2 linked regions of the Astyanax mexicanus genome follow. The protein of the gene in region 2 purifies or fractionates together with the protein of the main gene of each other region. This does not show direct contact. Links are inferred from orthologs where the notes say so. Each region holds a gene or a part of one and is shown on either strand. Other genes may lie near its edges.

Region 1 (10,293 bases), on a different chromosome or scaffold from region 2:
GAGCACCGTTTTATAAGGCGCACTGACGATATTTGTAAAAATGAAAGGTTTTTAAGTGAACCTCATAGTGCACAAAAACAATGTATCACAAACAAAAACGAGACTATAATTGTGATCTTGATATTTTGCCTCACCCCTAATTTTTTTCTCCAACAGAGTAAAGAAATCTGAATTAGCAAGTTTCTATTGAATAAAACATTTCACATAAACTTGAATATTTATGTTATATTATCATTGAATTATTTAAAAACAAATTACATTAACAGACTTTCCACATGGCTGTGGTCCACAGTGAAAAGACAGAAACCAGTGACTGTGACTTTCCATCGGAAAGAACACATTCATGTACAGTCTTTATAGCTCGAGAGGAAAAACAATTAATGCACAAACACACACACACACACACACACATTCTCGCACACTGACAAAGAAACACCATTTTCAGAGTCTCTCCGTACAGCACTGTCGCCATCATTTTCATGCACACATATCAACATCTCACATCTGACTATTTAAAGTGATAAGAGCTCTGAGCACTTATACTCCCAGGGCCATCAGAATCTGAGAATGTGTCTGCGAGGTGTTAAAGGAGTTAAGGTTAAATCTGTTGTTCTTACCCCCTCTGCTTTTCTATTTTCAATATATTAAACACATCCTTCTATTTTTCCAAAACACAAGCTGACAGCCTCACGCCTGTTAAAAAAAAGGTGTTCCTTATTCAGCTTTGGATTATTATGCTTATCAAAATACTGAGCCGCGATCTAACACGTACACTTCTAAAAACAGACTGTAAATTTCTTTAAACTGTGAGCAAATAAGTTCGGAATAATAACAGCGTTTAAGCATAACACAGCAGAAGTAAAGAGAAAATATAAAGACTTCAGTGTCGTCACATAAAGGCTTTGAACAAAATGGATCCCTACTCCTCCAAAAGTATTGCGCTATAAAGGGAAGGACTGTTTAGTTTACTAACTAATGGCAGAAACCCACATACATTTGGACATTTGCTTTATCATTAACACACATCAACAATGGTCATATAAACCAACATGTGATTGGCTGAGACATGTTTAAAACTAATATTAAGTTGTTTGTGAAATAATCTTTGAAATTTCATTTATATTTTTTATTACCTTTATTTATTTTTTATTATCTTTATTAATAGAGCCTGTTAGAGAACTTCATGATATCTCGCTAACCTTAGCAAACAACTTATTTACCTTATATACCACCTTAAATGCACAACACCAGCAGTTTCAAAACATGCCTCAGTACATGTGCTTTTTACTTCCTCAGTGTTACTAGAGCCTGATAGAGTAGTTAAACAACAACTCATTTATTTTATACTCATTCTAAAATTTTCAGTTGTTCATGAAATAATCTTTGACCTTTTATTTATAATAAAAAATATTAAAAAAAATATTACAATGTGTTTTTTCGCAGTTGTCCTTAATTTTAATTATCAGTTTATATAACAAATTTAAATATTACTTAAACTTAACTGTGGTTTATTACATCTGATATCAATTTTTCTAGCCTAACCAGGCATGATTACTGCCACACCTGTTCTCAATCAACAAATCACTTAAATAGTACCTGCTTGACAGGTGAAGTAGAAGTGAAGTTGATGAAAATATACTCAAATGCTAGATATCATGCTAATATCCAAAGAAATACAGAAATAAAAACAAAAAAACAAAAAACAAAAAATGAGATCTCTTAGTCTGGAAAATGTTACAAAGCCATTTCTAAGCCATCATACACAAATGGAAAAAACGTGAAAAGTTGTGAACCCTCCTAGGAGTGATTGGCAAACCAAAATTATCCCAAAAGCACAGTGACGATCCATCCAAAAGGTCACAAAAGACCCCACATCAACATCCAAAGAACTGCAGGCTTTACTAGCCTCTGCTAATGTCAGAGATCATGACTTCACCATAAGAAAAAGACTGGGCAAAAATGGCCTGCATGGCAGACTGCTAATATATAAACCACTGCTGAGCAAAAAGAACATTTAGGCTCAAGGCAATTTTGCCAGAAAACAATTTGTTGATCGGCAAAACGTTTGGGAAATTACTCTGTGTCCCATTACATCTGGCTTAAAAGTAACACTGCATTTCAGAAAAAGAAACACCTACAGTAAAACATGGTGGTGGTAGTATGATGGTCTGGGACTGTTTTGCTGCTTCAGGACCTGGAAGACTTGCTGTGATAAACAGAACCATGTATTCCACTGTCTACCAAAAAGTTCTGAGGGAGAATATCCGGCCATATGTTTGTGACCTCAAGCTGAAAGAGCTTGGGTTCTCCAGCAGGACAATGACCCAGAACACACCACATCTGAATGGCTAAAGTGGCCTAGTCGAAGTCCTTCCCTAAATCTGATTTATATCCTTTGGTATGACCTTAAAAAGGCGGTTTATGCTTAAAACTTCCCCAATGTGGCCCCAGAGATGAGTATGCCAAAATTCTTCTACAGTTATACTTTTTAGTGGCAAAAACTTTTACACAGGGATTTTTTTCCCCTTAATTATAAAAACTTAGTTTAAAAACTGCATTTTGTGTTTACTTGTGTTGTCGTTGATTGATATTTAAATTTGCATTACCACAATATGTGTCTTAAATTTGGTTCATAGTAGCATCTTTTTATAAAGCAGGATATTTTGTTTTTATGTTTTTGGCATTATATTTAACATACTGTATATTGTGGCATTATAATGAGCTGATGCCGTCTTATTGGCACAAGCAGCTGATCCTGACCCTGAAGGCCTTTGCTGGAAAGTTATTATCAGTCCAGTTTTAGTATTTTCTCACAAATGAACAAAGCAAAAATTTTGCATATTCACACAGATATTAGGCATGAAGTCAATAGACTTTGCAGAGATAGGATGTGCACCAAAACATTAATGTCTATCACATCCACAGGGTCTTAATTTGGCCTTGCCTACAACAAAATAAAACAGTGCTTACATTTCCAACGACACAAAACATGGAACACTGCCAGCAGGAGATAAACAACAATGCTGGGAAATCTCAAGCCAACTGTAGCCAACTGTCCTTTAACGTTGTTTTTATTTCCACTAAAGGTTGGTCGAAAACTTGAAAAAACTTTTAAGTTGCATTTCTTTCAATTAATTGTGAATTAATTGTGTGATATGTGTTATATTATGGTAACACATCATAATGTAGTTCTGATGTTAAAATTAAGCTGCATCCAATTACACACACTAATAACATTGGGTGTATAGTACTTACTAGTCATAATAGAGTGGGTTTTTTACCAATGAAATGCTGTGTGTCATGATCAGAACATCTATAGAACCTGTTGGATCAAGTCAATGGCAACCTAAATCATATGATAAAAGAATTGCCTCCGTTTTTTTTCTCGTGCACATGTTAACAACTTACATAAACTTGGAGGATGGAAATCCCTCTACTAAACTAGAACACAGAGATTAGATAGAACTTGAATGTGATTACTTGTATACACTTTATTCATCTACGTCACCATCGTCTACCAAAACGAGGATGTGGGGTATGGAAGTAGCATTGGAAAACTGGGTACTAGCAATGCTAACTCACTGCTGCGTTCCCAAATAACGTACACTTCTTCAAAAATAAATAAATCTTATAAAGTTCAAATCTTCCATAATTCCTCAAAACATCCTGTACTTTACCCTGAATGGATTCACAAAATCAGTAGAGATTGCCATTTTAATTTAAGTATGTACGATACTATGCTAGCTATCTAGCTAAGCTAGCCATTTTGGTATTACCCAGCTAGCCAATCTAGCCAGATGAATGTTAGCAGAGAGACAACAGGCTAGCTAAACCTGGGTCTCTAGCTTTGATTGATGAACCCTGAACTGGTCATTTGGCAATGGTTAATTTCAAGTGTGTGAGGTTAGTTGTCCACACAGGCGCTGCCATTTAAACTGAAGGATATTCTGCCTGTTCCCTCACTGCCTTGGAGTTTCCAGTTTAGAAGAGTACCCCGTCTCATTTTTCATTTCAACATGAGCGTAGAGTAAATAAGGTGCATGGTATGTCTTTGAAAGATGAAAAAAGATAATTGGTAGAGAACAACTCAATACTTTGAACAACTTTAACACAAGTTAAAAAGGGAGGCATAATTTTAATTGCTGGCTAATCTCGGCATCCATAACCACAAAAAAATGTCTATCAGCTCCAGACGGTCTTACCTAGTTACTTTTTGATGCAAAACCTGCAACACTGATAGGACAAATTTAAAGAGTAAAAAAGAGAATTCTGAAGCCAACAGAGCTGAGCACAGTGTCCTTCAGAGTACTTTCTTTTCTGTACAGTCTGTACAGAGTGTATTCAGGCTTTATGCTTGGGTGAGTGCACTTGAGAGACATAGGGAGACATACAGCTTTTACCTTTTTACCAGCAGAATGGAAAGAAATGATGGAGGCCTAGCTTCTTTTTAACTTTTCTACTGTTATTTGACTTTTCCGCCCACCTGACCTTCTGCATGCTTGAAATGTAAATAGATTTGTACTACTAGTTAACTAACTAGAAGAGTCTTGTGACCTGGGGTTTCATGGAATTTTATGGAAGAGGGAAACACTGGGTTACTGAGTCACAGGAGAGGACAGTGTAGTGTGTGTGTGTGTGTGTGTGTGTGTGTGTGTTTGCCAGTAACACTGCAGGCCAGCCTCTCCTGAAACAGCACTTCAGTGGTCGCACGTCAGAACGTGTCGTCAGCAGTCAGCAGTGACTTTACAGGCTGAAGTGTTGATGCCAGTTTTGCATTCAGATACAGTAAGACCACTTGTTAGAAGCTCTAAACTCGCCAGCTTCCTTCCAGCATCAACTTAAACTCTCTGTTTATATGTTTAAAATGTTTGTTGGGTCTTTCGGTAAGTAGAAAACACAGGACACAGCCTCAGTTCAGTGAAGTTAGTTACCTAGCTAACAAGCTAACGCTAGTTAACTAGCTAACTAGTTAGCCTGGCGTTACCTTGGTTACCACATATTGGTCAAAATAAGTAGTTAGCTAGTTAGCTAACTAGTAGCCTAGCCTTCACTGTAAGTTATACAGTGATACAGTTCACGTATAACTTAGATAACCTAGTTAGCTAACTAACCTAGCCAGTTTTATCGTTTAAAATGTTTCAAACTCACAAGTAAACCCATATACCGGCTTTTTTTACTTTCTGACCTAAAGAACAGCGCTGTGTCTAACTAAACCCTCTTCAGCACCTCAGCGGAGACCCCGCTTTCCCATGGCGGTTCTAACGTTGCTAACGTTAGTTAACGACGAGTAAAACGCAATAGAAAAGTTCGTTTAACATTTTCTATCCGCACTTATTTACTTATCATTCGCTCCACACTTTATCTAAGCTAGCTCACTAGCTAAGCTACTTCCCAAGCGCACCGAGGAACCCAGCGCACATGCGGTGTGAGGAGAGTAACGTTACCCGGTGAGTTTTTACCTTCTGGTCCACGATGGAGCACGCCATTTCTCGGACCTGCGCTAGACTGAAGTCCCCCGAGTCCAGCAGCACCGGCTCCCGGCTCAGCCCGATCTGGATGTGGAAGGAAACGCCCTGGGAGCCCGGGACGGGGCTGGGCGCCCGGATCACCGGAGGGACACTCATGAGAATCCCCGAGCGGTCACGGCTGGACAGCGGCTGGTCAGTCTGCTCTCAGTCTCGGTCAAACGCGCTCCGCTTCTCGGAGGAAAATAATAAATACAAACTTCGACTCGCCCCCCCTCCAAAAAAACAGAAACACACAGCACAGTGTCTGTCCTAGAGGTAAAACGACGCGGGGAAATATATTATAGCTAATAAACCTGACCGCATTTAGAAGCTGTGAAACGCAAAGCGCTTTTTTGGTCATTGAGAAGCGATGCTGATGGAGCCATAGACGTCAGATATGTTTAATGTTGGGCTCTGATAGACACCGCCTCCTGCCTGTTCCGGTTATCAGAGCGAGGTGCCTAACGCTGAGATTTATCTGCCTGGGCTTTAGAACTGTTACTCAGATGTCTGTCCATTAAAGTATTAACAGTATTAAAGTATTTAGAGCTTCTTTTCATTTCTATCTATTTTACCGGAATGATTTGCTTGCTTTAAACGCTACTGATTTAAAGCCTGTTTATTATTTTAACAGTTATACATGCAGACTCAAAAGAACGCACACAGTAAAGTTATTCAGACTGTGAAATAAGTAGTAAGTAAGTAAGTAAAATAAAAAGTCAGCTTAAGTTTGATTAATTAATAAACTGAACTGTTAGTAGACTTATAAAGTGGGAAAATATTTTTAGTAGGAATTCAATTGTTTGACTGATGCCCTAACAGGTGTCATTGTAAAGAGATAATAAGTTATTCACTTTGGAGGTGTTAATGTTATGGCTGTTCAGTGTTTAATATACCACATACACAGTCCCATATTAACTGTGGGTACATTAACTACCAAACACAGTCCCATATTATATAACACACGTTCACTGCAATGACGGGACAGTGTTTTTAGTAAAATGGGACTGTGCTTTTTAATGTAGTTAATATTGGACTATGTATTTGAAATACATCATGACAGTGACAGTGTGTTTGATAATATGCGATGGTCTTTGGCAACATAGCCACAGTGTATTTTAAATATATAACAAACACACTGTCCCAAATTACCAAAATGCACTGCCATTTAACCATACAAAACGTCCCATATTAACAAACACAGTACCATCATGATGGGACAGTGTATTTGGTAACATAGGACTGTATTTGGTAGCCACAGTTTTTATTTATTTTGTATTTTATATATAACAAACACACTGTCCCATATTATCAAACACACTGCTCCATATTACTGCACAATACACTGTCCCATATTACCAGAAATAAACTGTCCTATGCTACCAAACACTGTCCCATATTACTACACAATACAGTGTCTATATTACCAAAATGCACCGTCCTATACTACCAAACTCATTGTCCCATATTATCAAACACAGTCCCATATTACCAAAACATACAGTCCCATATTACCAAAACACACAGTCCCATATTACCAAACACACTTTCCTGTATTACTAAACAATACATTGTCTCATAGTAGCAAATATACTTATATATTATCATATAACACACAGTCCCACTCTAACATTTTAATTCTAGTTATGCATTGCATGACAGCATCCACTTGGCAAGTTGTATATTTGACCTGATTTCTGGACAAGGTTGCTGTAAATCCTGTATATGTTTATTAATGTAGACATGTATGGCTTTCAGAGAAGCCTATAATAAGTTGTTACAGATTGTGAGGTAGTAATAAAAGACACTGTATACTTATTTTTTTACAGTTTCACTTCTAGTTTGATTATTCTGTAAACTGGAAAAAGGAAATACTGAAAGTAGGCCTTATAAGGAATAACAATTAAACCAGACTAAACAAAGTGCATCAGTGGGCCTTGGGCACCCATATCCTGTCACTGGTTCACAGGTTGCCCTTCCTTTTTTTGGTAGGTAGTGACATCTGCATAGCAGGAACATCCCACATGACCTGCAAGTTCTCTATCAAAGTGTTTCTATCCATCACAGTTTAAGCCTGATCAGACTTGTTTAGATTCTAAAATGTGCCATTTTCTTTCTTCTACCACATCAACAACTGACTGTTCTATTGCTGCCTAATTTTAGCACCTTAGCATCCACCTAGCAACAACTTAACAAACACTTCAGATATCAGAGCATCCATTAAGAAACACCACAGAAACCAATTTGGATACCTTAACAACCATCTCTCATGATACTGTAGTAACCAGTTAGTAACAGCATAGCAACCACTAAGCAATACAACCAGTTACCACCCCTGTAACTACGCAACCATCCTGCACAAGTGCAACGTATCAGTAAAAGTTTTACCTCATAGAATTTGAGTTTTTTTTTATCTCATCTTTATTTCATAATGTATCATATTCTGTTATCATTCTGTTATCTCGCTACCTGTCTGTCTGTCTGTTCCTTTGTCTGTCTGTCTTTGTAGAGATACCAATTTATACTACTTTTGGAAATTCCCAAATACCATAATTCTTCTCAGCAGCATATGGTAAGGCTTAGGGTTTATAAGGTCATTTTTTTTAGCCATTTTATCACTTTTTCTGTATGATTTGTACTAAGACATTTGCAGGTATTGAGGACTATGTTTAATTGGATGTGTATTCATTTACATTTTTATTACTTTACCTATTTATGTGTATTTAATGATTTTTTAAGAAATGTAATATAAATATATCATATATCAGACGAACACAGTAATATTTGAGACGTTAAAAATAACTTTATAGCTCTTTGACCCTTGATCTACATGCACAGGTGAATTCAATCATGTGAAAGGGTTAAGGTGGCCAAATGCAATTTGTCTCCTCTTTGCAAAATCCTCTGTTTTCTCCTCTGTTCAAAATCTACCAAGGCATTCATGCAGAGTAACAAGTACAACGTTCTGGAATGGCCATCTGAAACCTGACTGAACTGGAGATGTTTTGTAAAGATGAATGGTCTAAAATGCTTCCAACCGGAAGACAGACTCTCATTGGAAGCTATAGGAAGTGTTTAAAGGCTGTTATTTTTGCAAAAGGAGGATCTACTAAATATTGATGTAATTTATGCACCTGCCTAATTTGGTTTTAAGAATTATTGCACACTGTCTTTAAAGCATATGAACTTCATTTCACTTCTCATATATCACAGTCTTTGTCTGCTATATGATATATTTAACTGAAATTGTTGATATGAACAACCAATGATTTATAAAGGAAAATCATTAAAACTATCAGGGGTGCCCAAACTTTTTCATATCACTGTATGTCTGCACCAGATTCTAAGGGTACATGGTCTAAATAATTTAGCAGATTTATTGGACGTGTCTGTGATTGGAACTCAATCCATTTTTGTAGAGCTGGCTGTTTTAGCTGGCTGTAGTAAACTGTGTTTTTTGCAGCCGTATATTAATTGACGGAGGAGTAATGAGGGGAAATCTCAGCGTGAGTTAGCTTGCTATAAATTGAGCTATTTTTCCCTCAGGCTGAACCGAGTGCCCCATTACAGCAAGTGGCTTTTATTTGAATTGCAACTTTACATATTAAGATGTAAATAACTCAGTTTGACCAGGCTCGAGTGGGCCAACTGTGCTCCTGCGTCAGCATGTGTGCCGGCATGCTGTCAACAGGAGGGCTGGAGGACTCGCGGTTGCTAGGGGAGACGGGCCAGCTGAGGCCGCTCCTCCCACGCCCGCTGCAACCTGGGTCTCTTTCTAAAACGCAGACTCGCATCTGTGCACTTGCGCACTAACAAGTCTGCGAAAGGTATATCTGGGGTCTTAAATGTATTAAAAGTATTTGCATATGTGGGCTTTAGAGCAACCATTAACTAAGCAGCTGTAAAGCATACATTACATTTTCAGTCGAAGGTTTAAAACTGTTAATTGATTCTTCTTTTCACTAGCAGACTAAAGAGGAGTCGGGGTGGGCAAGAACCCCCCCTTGGTGCCCCTATGGTTCAAAAAGTGTTGCTAAATGCTCTCTGGAGAGGCAAAAAATGATCAGAATACCCTACTGGCTACAATGTTTGTAACGTGTTTTAACAAGTGCCCATGCTTTGCTGCCCTTCTAATATACTAATAAAGAATGGCAAATATGAAGTGTCTTCTGTGCCAGCCGTAAAAGACACCCGAAAAGTGTCCAAAAGGGTGCTCTTTCCAGTAGAGAAAATGTGATATATTGATATACAGGGTTCTCCTACAGTTGAAATAACATAATGTGCCTTATTAGGTGCCCCTCTAATGAAAATGTGCCACACCAGTGGATTAAATGGGATGTGATGCCCAATAGGTGCCCATTGCCACTAGATAAACTGTATTTGATGTCAGACATTGGGCCCTATTGTACACCCTGCACAAACCACATTGCGATGCTTGTTGTCTCCAGGCACAGGTGACTTAAATTTAAGATGGTGGCGCCCAAAGATATATCTACACTTTGGGATGTAAAGAGTGGCTTTTAATAAACTTCTTGTGCAGTTTTAAAATTCTAAATGCCTCATTTTAAATGTCAGGGCTCTCCAGATTCTATCAATGAGGTGTGGAGCGACTTTGAGCCTGAATAACGGTTGGAAAAGTTTGGTGAAAGCTCTGAGCTGATCATGTAGTAATCTCTCTTACTGTTATATTTAAACTGTTTAAAACATAATCCTCACATTAATGAACTTCATGGAGAAACATCTGAAATTAACCGTGTACACTGGCTTGCAACGTTGCCAGATTGTG
Region 2 (10,293 bases):
CAGTGTGCCTTATAATCTGGTGCACCTTATGTATGGAATTTACCAGTCGAGTATTAAGGAGCAGTAAAGCCACTCTGCTGAAATACAGCATTATACAGGGTGAGTAAACAGTAAAGTTTCTCCAGCACTAAGGCTGGGTGCAGCAGCATTAGCATTAGTCGCTAACTGCAGTGCTAGCTCTTTTGCCACTCTGAGGTGAGTATATCAGAGTGTAGTCTGTGTGTTTGCTGTGTTAAAACAAGCTACGTGGGAAGAACCACTAGCTGATATCACCTTTGGCCATTCACAGGTGAGTTTTATCGGCCAGTAGCCTGCTGCTAACCCTGGCTAGCACTGCTGGAGCAGCATTAGCTCTAGCTGCTAACTGCAGCACTAGCTCTTTCGGCATTCAGAGGCGAGTATATGTATAAAACAAGCTACAATGGATGAACCACTAGCTGATATCGCCCTGGTTTACTGGAACACTCAGTGTTACAGGGTTCCTCAGTGTAGCGCTATCGGGCGGCATTAGCTGCTAATTGATAGCAATTAGCCTCTAATGCTAATGCTCCACCTTCAGTGGAAATTTAACTTTAAAAGAAAATGTGTTTTGGCTCACTTAGCTTAGCTTTACAGGTCTCGCCACCCAGCAGTGAGACCTACTGAATTAGAAGGAAAACATGGTAACACCCCTGTTCCTTACTATTGTCGCATAAAATGTGCCTTATGTATGGAAACAGACCAGAAAATAAACGTTTGCCTTATAATACGCTGCGCCTTATAGTGCGAAAAATACGGAAATTAACTCCATTTTGGAAAAGCACTTTCAGTGTTTCAGCTCCAAGGGGTCCAAGTTTCCTCATACACTTAATAAACACTATGCACTGATTTATTTTCCTGCTAAAATAAGACTCAATTTAATATACTCTACAGTTTTTCCACAGTTTTAAAATGATGGTAATTAATTACTTTTCTCTTTTCTACATTTTACCCCTTAGCTCACTGCCATGACCATCTCCATGATCATGTATTGCAAGATAAAGGGAAAATAATGCAGAGGAAATCCTGAGAAAAAGATGCTTCCAGACATTTCAGATGTGCAGATTCAATGCAGACAAAACTAATTTTAAGTAACATTTTTAATATATTTTATACATTTGTTTTCCTTTTGTACAATTGTGACATTATGTGAAGGATTTGATTAGTTTAAAGTATCATTTATGTTGATTTAAGAATGTGATCCATTAAATTAGGTACTTTGATTTAATGAATGGATTACTTATCTTTTTTTGTGTTTTTTTTACTTGAAGTAATTTGATACGTTTTGTAAAGGCATATGAAGGATTTTCCTGAAATTATTCAGTACACTGTTAATAATGTGATTAATCCTGTGAATTAACTTTGTATGATCCATGTTTCTGCGCAGTCAAGTGTAAATGTAACTAATATGTCTATTTTAATACATATAAAATTAAAATGTTGTTTTTATCTAGAATCATTCAGTAAAATGCCAAAGAACTTTTAATGCAGATGGAGCTTGCTTTATATTTATATAAAATACATTATGCCATACTAGGCCATTTTAATATATACTGTCCCAGCAATTCTTTAAAAAACATTCATAAATATATATTTAATATTTAAATTGGATAACAGTGTATGTTTTTAACCTGATTAATAATAAAATCCAGATGTCTTATTTGTGTGTGGTGTGTTTTCATTATTCTGCTTTCATTACCAGGCTTTTCTAATGTAGGTTAAATATGTTGACTATGAAGGAACACATAAAGAATCATGTAGTAACTTAAAAGTGTTAAACAAACCAAAATACTCTGTTAACTTGTGGTTTCTGAGGCTGGAAACTCTGATAAACTTATTCTGTACAACACAGGGAACTCATTCCTGATGAGTGCCAGTTTTATCATAAAATTTTGATGGTCTTTGTAACTGTAGTTCTTGAAATTTAGGAATTGAGTGATCTTCATTTCTTAAAATCATTTTCACTTAGTTGAGTAGTTGTTGCTTCTCATAATCTGGATTAGAACATTACTCAAATATTCACTATTCACTGTATACCTGTAACTCTACCTCTTCACTACTTTACTTTAACTGATGCTCTCAAACACTTTATTAAGAGACAAGAAATTCAAGTAATTAACTCTTGATGAGCACAGAGAAAATAAACATCAAGATGTGCAACACTGTCTCTATCTAAACAAGAGGAGCTAATAAAAACATATTCTAGTTTGTTTAACACTTTTTGTTTAATAAATAATTCCAGTATTAATCTACAATACAGAACTTGTATCTTCAAATGTTGATAAAAAACATGATATAATATTTATTTGCTCAAGTTGTCCAGGAGGAAGTTTATATCAGTCATACAAATATATTTTTATTATTTTGAAAAGATAAATGAGCTTTTTAAGGCCAGTGCTGCCATCTTATGGCAAAATATATATATATGGTACCCATAACATTAGTACTATTTGTTTCTACAATCAGTTGGTACTAATATCAAATAGGATAAGAAACAAAAAGCTAGTAGATAAATAATACAAATATTAAAAGATAAAAAAGCAATAAATATGTTCACCATGACTAAAAAGATAAGAAATAGGACTGGGCGAAAGTGAAGGTAATGGTACAAATCAGAAATGGGATTAGGCCAAGGTGTAGGGACAGGTTACACATTAGGAATGGGATTGAGCCCAAGGGAAGAAATGCGATTGGACCAATGTGTAGTAAAAGGTACAAATTACAATTGGAATTGGGCCAAAGTGTAGGTAGAAGTACAAATTAGAAATGGGATTGAGCCATCAGCTGCTGGAGCCTTGAGAGAGCACAATTAGCCTTGCTCTCTCTGGGTGGGTACAGTAGATGGCGCTCTTTCCCCTCATCACTCCTCTAGGGTGATGTAGATCGGCACAAACTGCGTCTGTGAGCTGATGTATCAGAATCGAGTCGCTGCGTTTTCCTCCGAGCGTTAGCGCTGTGATGCTACTCGGTAATGCTACATCAGCAGCAGTTCAAAACGAGGCGGAATCTAACTTCACATGTATAGGAGGAGGCATGTGCTAGTCTTCACCCTCCTGGTGTGTTGGGGTATCACTGGTGATAGGGGGGGGGGTCCTAATAAGTGGGTTGGGTAATTGGCTGTGCAAAATTGGGGAGAAAATGGGAAAATTTTGAAAAAAAAAGGGGATTGGGCCAAGGTGTTGATAAGGGTAAAAATTAGAAATTGGATTGGCCCAAAGTGTCGGGATAAACTGAAAAATAGAAATGGGATTAGGCTAAGGTGTAGGCAAGCACACAAATCAGAGATGGAATTGGGCCAAGGGGGTCAAAACAAGCTACAAATTAGAAATATAATTGGGCCTGTGTTGTTGTGAAGGGGATTATTCAATTATTATTATTTTTATTTTATTAAGTAAATACTACATTCACCGATGTAAATACTTGTCCTCAATACCAAAATTTGATATTTTTTTACTAGACTTTACCTCACTTTTAAAATAATTTAGAATGTCTAAAAATGGGAAATGTAAAAGAAGTGTAAGAATTTGTGATGAACTCTCACTATATATATAATATTTTTCCCTCTTTCTTTCCTTTTCTCCCTTTTGTATATTTTCATGCTGTCTTCTATCGTTGTTTCTTGTATTAACCCGAAACTTTAAGAATAAAAAAGAATTAAAAAATAGTCCATCGAAACATTAAAGCTCCACTAGGTAGGATTGAGAGTTTGTGCTTGTGGGCTCCCCCTACAGTTGTAGAGTGTAATAAATGTTTCAGGCGGATTAGTTTCTCTTTCTTGTTTTCTAGCTTTCACAGACATATTTAGTCTCTTTCCAGCTTCTGCCAGAGTGTCTGTATGTTAGTTTGTAAAGAATGAACCAGTAGTCCTTGTAGAACTGTTAGAACTAAAGGTCGGAAAGCAGGTCACAGTTCTCGCGAGCGTTGGTCGCAGCCGCCTCGGAAAACTTACTGGTTTGAGCTCAGAGGAGCTCCGGCACAGACACGAGAGCACCGCTATTTCTCCTATTACACCTCAATGCAGCGCTGCAGTGAGTTTCAAGCTGTAATTTTACTTCTTAAAAAAGAACAAAAATCAAGGAAATCCTACCTAGTGCTGCTTTAAATAAACATTTACAAAAAATATTAAAAAAAAGAAGAAGGGGGTTATTCAACCAAAAGAGGGCAGCATTGCACTGTGCTGGTTAAGCAGTGCAACACAATGCTGTTTAGAGCTTCTGGTTTTACAGAATGTGTCTCGGATCAGATCTCTCTGCTGGTTTATTCTCATGCCCTGCAGTGAAATGTTAGATCTGACACTTCTTATTCTAAATGTCACAAAAAGAGAAAGAGAAAGAGAGAAAAAGAAAGGGAGAAGGGTAAAAACAGGGAGATAGAGCCAGTTTACAGGGGCAAACATCCAAACCCAGTGAGGGGGGCCTGGCTGTGTGGTAGAGGGCGGTGCTAGAGCTCCAGAAAGCTCCAGAGCTGGAGCGGTACTTTCACTGCACACACACACACACACACTGTGAAACACACACACACACACACTCACACACACACTGAAAACATCGAAACACACGCACGCACGCGCGCACACCGGCGAGAATGGAGCGAAGCCTGCTCTGGGGTTGTTAGATGGATACATAGTGGATAACGCGCCTGTTGCGCACTACTTTTTTTTCTCCTCCAGGATGCTCTACAAGTGATCCAGTCTGTAATCTGGAATATCTACAATAATCCGGATCTCTTTAATTCGTTTCACCGTTGAAGATTAAACAGAACACACCAAACGATCCGGATTCAACTCGGGTTTGCTCCGTATGGCGCGATGCATCTCCCCGGGCTTATCGTACTCTCCAGCGGGGCAGAAGTTTGGGGTTAGCCGCTTGGAGCGCACAGGGTGACCGCTACCGCTGGAGATTTTGACCGCTGGAGCTTCTGGAGCTAAAGCCCGAGTCCTGAGCGTAGGCTGCCGGTGTATGGTGCGCGCCCCCCGGCATGGCGAGCGAGCTGAAGCCGCGGTTGTGCTGCATGGCGAAGGGGGAGCAGGGCTACGGCTTCCACCTGCACGGAGAGAAGGGCAAGAGCGGCCAGTACATCCGCAAGGTCGAGCCCGCCTCCCCCGCCGAGGCTTCGGGGCTCCGGGCCGGGGACCGGGTGGTGGAGGTGAACGGAGAGAACGTGGAGAGAGAGACCCACCATCAGGTGAGCAGTTAAACCAACTCTGGTAGGGTCTAATACAGTTTCTGAACCAGTTAATCTGCATTTCTCCCAAATTCCAAATAAAAATATTGTCAATTAGAGCATGTCTTTCCAGATAATGAGAAATGGCTGAAATAACAAAAAATATATATTGCAAAGAAAACAAGTTCATATTCATAAAGTTTTCATGCATCTTGGCATCATGTTCTCCTCCACCAGTCTTTCATACTGCTTTTGGATAACTTTATGCTTTCACTACTGGTGCAAAAATTCAAGCAGTTCAGTTTGGTTTGATGGCTTGTGATCATCCATCTTTCTCTTGATTATATTCCAGTGGTTTTCAAATTTGGTAAAATTTGAAGAAACTCATAATTTTTAAGTGCTCTCTTAATTTTTTCCAGAGCTGTAGATAAGCTACTACCCTAATAGCAAAGAACATTCACCACATCTTTTAGGGCTGCATTTAAGGTTGATGATGGAAAAACAACCTTAAAACAACCCTTATTATTTAACATTGCCTTATATGCATTATCAGTTAACCAACTCTGGTAGGGTCTAAAGTAAGTAAGTCTGTAGATAAGATACTTTTAATACTTAGATACTTAGAAGTTTTAGTATAGCTAGGCTATATAATATATATGTATAATGTCACTAGATCTTTTAAGGTGGATGATGGAAAAGCAACCTTAAAACAAGCTCTGGTAGGGTCTAGCTTAGTTAGTTAGTAAGCAAGATAACACAATAACAACAACATAAAAGCTTGGTTAGGTCATCCAACAGCCTATACATGGAGACACGCCATAGTTGTTTGGCAAATGTTAGAAATTTTAAAACCAGTTGTCCTCAAACTTTATATAAAACTACTAAAACTAGACTCAGTATCAGCATTATGTGTATTTTGTCTCCCCTTTATACTTTATTTTTTTTATTTCATACAAACACTGTGTAATGATGTCTTTTTGACTGGACACATGATCGATTTGACCGGTCGTATGACCAAGCCTGACCAAGCCAAGTAAAATATGTTGCCCACAATTACGATGATATTATGATACTGTGATTCTGTGATACTCAATATATCACAAGACAATTCTCTACGATACAATATGATAAAATACTCCTATGTAATCAAATACCAAGAAGTTTCAGTATCACAGAGTTTTACAACCCATATTCAGAACATACCTCACTGGGCTCCTTCCTAACTGCACTGATCACTCCTGAAGGCTTACACTACCTCCCGGCCGCTGCGCTCCTCTAATGAACGTCGCCTCGCTTTGCCAAACACTCACACAAAGCAATCCAGACTGTTCTCATACAGAGTTCCCCAATGGTGGAACAAACTACCTTCCACTACCAGATCAGGAGAATCTCTCACTATCTTTAATAAACTCCTGAAGACAGAGCTCTTCAAAGAGCACTTACTCTCCTAACACCTCTAACTAACTACCTTCTACTACCAGATCAGGAGAATCTCTCGCTATCTTTAATAAACTCATGAAGACTGAGCTCTTCAAAGAGCACTTACTCTCCTAGCACCTCTAACTAACTACCTTCTACTACCAGATCAGGAGAATCTCTCACTATCTTTAATAAACTCCTGAAGACAGAGCTCTTCAAAGAGCACTTACTCTCCTAACACCTCTAACACACTAACTACTTCTAACTTCATTTTCCTCTTCCCCTCCTTCACTTCTCTATCCCTTTATTTTCCTTCGACCTCCTTTAGGCCCTGTCTAAAGATGTTTTACCTTTAAACTTCTATTAATTTTGTACTTGACTATTGTCGCTTTGGACAAAAGCATCTGCCAAATGTAATTAAATGTAATGTTATTCTTCAGTGCAGGTTTACCCTATTAATTTGATTAGCAATACCACGTAAAGCAGTGAAGCAGCCTATGTTTCAGGAAAAATATTGATATTTGACACCACAAATCGATACGATATGATAGATAGATTGAAACTCTTCAGATACATCCCAAAATCAATATATTCTCCCACCCCTAGTTGACCATAATTAGCCTAAACAAGCTGGTTGACAAGCATGACAACATGCATGATACATGAACTGCACCAGTGAAATGCTGGTGAACTATTTGTTTTTTACTGATTAACCTGATTTAACCAGCTTTACCATTGAGCTGGATTTTTTTAGCAGGGTATTAAACTATGCCGGAGGCAGAATTTGGCACAGGCTCCCCAAAACTGGAAAATCATAGCAGTGTACATGTCTGGCAGCTTTACAGACACAATACAATCAGCTAATGCTTCCACCAGCATCCCCATCACAGGCCGAGTCAGCATTACCCCTCATCCAACATCAACACTGACCCAGCCTCAAGTGGCTCCTTCTGTACTCCTTATGTAGTGCGCTCTAGAAACAATAATGGCTTCTGCATGCAAATAGTGCACTACACTCCCAACAGGGACCTGCTTGAGACTCAGCCAGTGGCTTTAACATTACAGACCAGCCATGTTTCCATGTTTTTATGTTTTTATGCTGGATCGTTTCTCCAGAGAGTCTTATTTTGTGAATGGACCCGACTTTCTCCAAAATCACGTGACTGTAGACAGATCTGGTACCTGCACTGGTGGTGGAAGTGGTGAATCAGGTGGATCAGTAGCGTGTGCTTGTTGTGGTGATGATAATGTGGCTCTGTGGATCTGCAACTTCAGCTAAATTCAGCTTCATAAACAGATGATGTAAATAAAGGCTGAGATAGTTAATCAGGAAAGCACTGGCTGGCTGAGTGAAGAGAATCTGGCTGTCTGGGCTCGCGGCTCGTTTCAGAGCTCTGTGCATGTGTGGGTCTGTCTGTTTGATTGACTGTTTGGGACATCTGGCCCTTTTTCATCCCAAACACAATACGGCAGTGAGGACCGAGAGCTTGAATGCAATTCAAAGGCTCTTTTTCTGATGCATGCTTAGAGACGAGTGCTCTGTTGATGGCCGCTGTACTGAACAGGCCTTTATTGATGTTAGAATAAAGAATACAGTATGAGAAATATTACAGATTTATAATTATTGAAAATATTTGAACTTAAAGAGGATAAACACATAACTAGCACTTGTTCCAGGCTGTTTGTTAGTGAATTTTTAAGGGTCTGCCGTGTTTAAAGGAGTTAAATTTGACAAATTAAACATTAATGTAGCAGAATATATACTTTAAACATCGTCATGGTGATGTGTGCATGCGCAATAGTCACAATAGTCACATCGCAAGACTTAAGGCAATTTAATTAAACACGTCATGTTGCAATGTTTTGATTCTTGACACAAGAAGTAGATACACAGCGCTGTCTCTGTGTCTGTGTGAGTGACAGGCTGCTGCTGCCTGAGAAGCACAAGGGGGAGGGGGAGCTCGAGGGTAGAGGGAGGCATGAGTAAAGACGAGGTAACCGCATGGCCTCCATCCACATGGTTGGGCACATGCTTAAAAACGTGAGCACGTGTGGAAAGCTGTGCACCTCAGTCCAGCACATTTTCAGTTACAGCTGAATTCACCCTTTTAATCCCAGAAAAACGCTCTTATTTACCTTTTAAAAAGCCATTTAAATGCCTAATTAAAGGGCCGGTTACTGTTGTTTTGCTGTTTTCCTCTTGTTTTGAGAGCTCGGCACTGACTCAGCTCTTGATTGGTCTGGGGCTGGTGACATTATGGGCCCTGCATTGTTTTATATTGCGATAAATATTGTCAAAAAATGAACATTTGCAATCTAAAAGTTTTCCAAGATTGTGCAGCACTAGTATGTACCTTATTATTAAGGAGACATGCCACAAACTACTCTTATAGCGTTAATCTTTGCACCCATTCAAGGATATAGTCCCGCCCTTAAGCAAAAACAGCCAATCAGATTGCACGGTGAATGCTTGCACAGTGAGTGGAGGAGGGTGAACGTAGCAAGCAGGTGGGATGGTGGTGGTGGAGATCAGCGCAGGTGCAGTAGCCATAACAAGCCTAAAATTTGAGTTTTTGTGTATTTATTTCATCAAATGCTATAATCTGTTTATAATGCCTTTATTAAATTTTATCAGTGATTCTGAAACACTAATCCAATCTTTGTTTTCCTGTATTTATATTTAACCCAGTCCCACCACATGGACATTATTCAACTACTTAATTCTTAATTCTTTACACTATCACTTGCCCAACCTCACTTACATTCAAGTACACTTTACTCATGATTGGGTTTTCACATATTCACTTTTCAGAACTATATTTGTTATGTATGCATATTTATATTTATGTATTTTTATATTTATATTCATATGGCACATCAGTGACTTTTATATCAATGTCATTGCACCTTGCACTTTGCTCTGTTAATTATTTAATGACTATTAACAACATGTACTGCACTGCTCTGTTTACAGATAGATTTTTATCTTGTATAGAAAGTTTTTTATGCCCTTATATATATATAGATTATCTATCTATCTATCTATCTATCTAGAACAGACATTCAAATACATTGCAGTATTCTTTAGGCTCCTCAGTTAGTCCATGTTTTTGTCTGGTTGAATGGAATCTGACATCCGAAATAAGCTGGTAATGATCTGAATTCCAGTCTGAATGTATGCTGGCGCTCGTTCAGAAGCAGCAGCGCTGCATCCAATAGCTGTGCAGGCCGAGGCCGAGGCCGCATTACAGAGCTGCAGCTTTTCCAGCATTATACTAATGCAGCATAAGTCTCTCAGCGTCACAACCATTGGAGTGAGTGGCTTAATGAATGAAGAATGTTTTCTGGAAGTGTGTACTGAAAAAAAGTCTGCTTTTACCGTTTTGTGAAGAGGAACAAACACCAGAACATCCTAAACGAGAGAAACGGCTTGTGAGGATCTTATAGGTTAGCTTTTAGGCTAAGGTTTAGTAGAGATAAAAAGAAGTTTGGATGTTTGGGTGGAAGTTTTTAATTTAATTATCAGGACTCATCAGGAGTCCTGATGAGTGCCAGTTCCTTCATTATAGCATTTTTGATGGTCTTTGGGAGTGCACTTGAGGATACTTTTAAAGTGCTTGAACTGTTTTAGATTAACTGACCTTCATTGCTTCTTAAAGTCATTTTTTCACTGTATACCTGTAACTCTACCTC

The links.
Region 1: the proteins of Na(+)/H(+) exchange regulatory cofactor NHE-RF2 (region 2) and prkd1 purify together in Homo sapiens (affinity purification with mass spectrometry; 3 studies listed by BioGRID and IntAct, with this or other methods). This does not show direct contact. The link is inferred for Astyanax mexicanus from reciprocal best matches to the Homo sapiens genes NHERF2 and PRKD1.

What each region holds. Positions count from the first base shown.
Region 1 is NC_064421.1:45,645,579-45,655,871, reverse strand, and holds the start of prkd1 (serine/threonine-protein kinase D1), read right to left. Parts: upstream 5,983-10,293; 5' UTR 5,625-5,982; coding exon 5,460-5,624; intron 1-5,459.
Region 2 is NC_064426.1:39,176,870-39,187,162, forward strand, and holds the start of Na(+)/H(+) exchange regulatory cofactor NHE-RF2, read left to right. Parts: upstream 1-4,495; 5' UTR 4,496-4,995; coding exon 4,996-5,202; intron 5,203-10,293. Other genes in the region: tspan35 (tetraspanin 35), read left to right, coding at 978-1,031.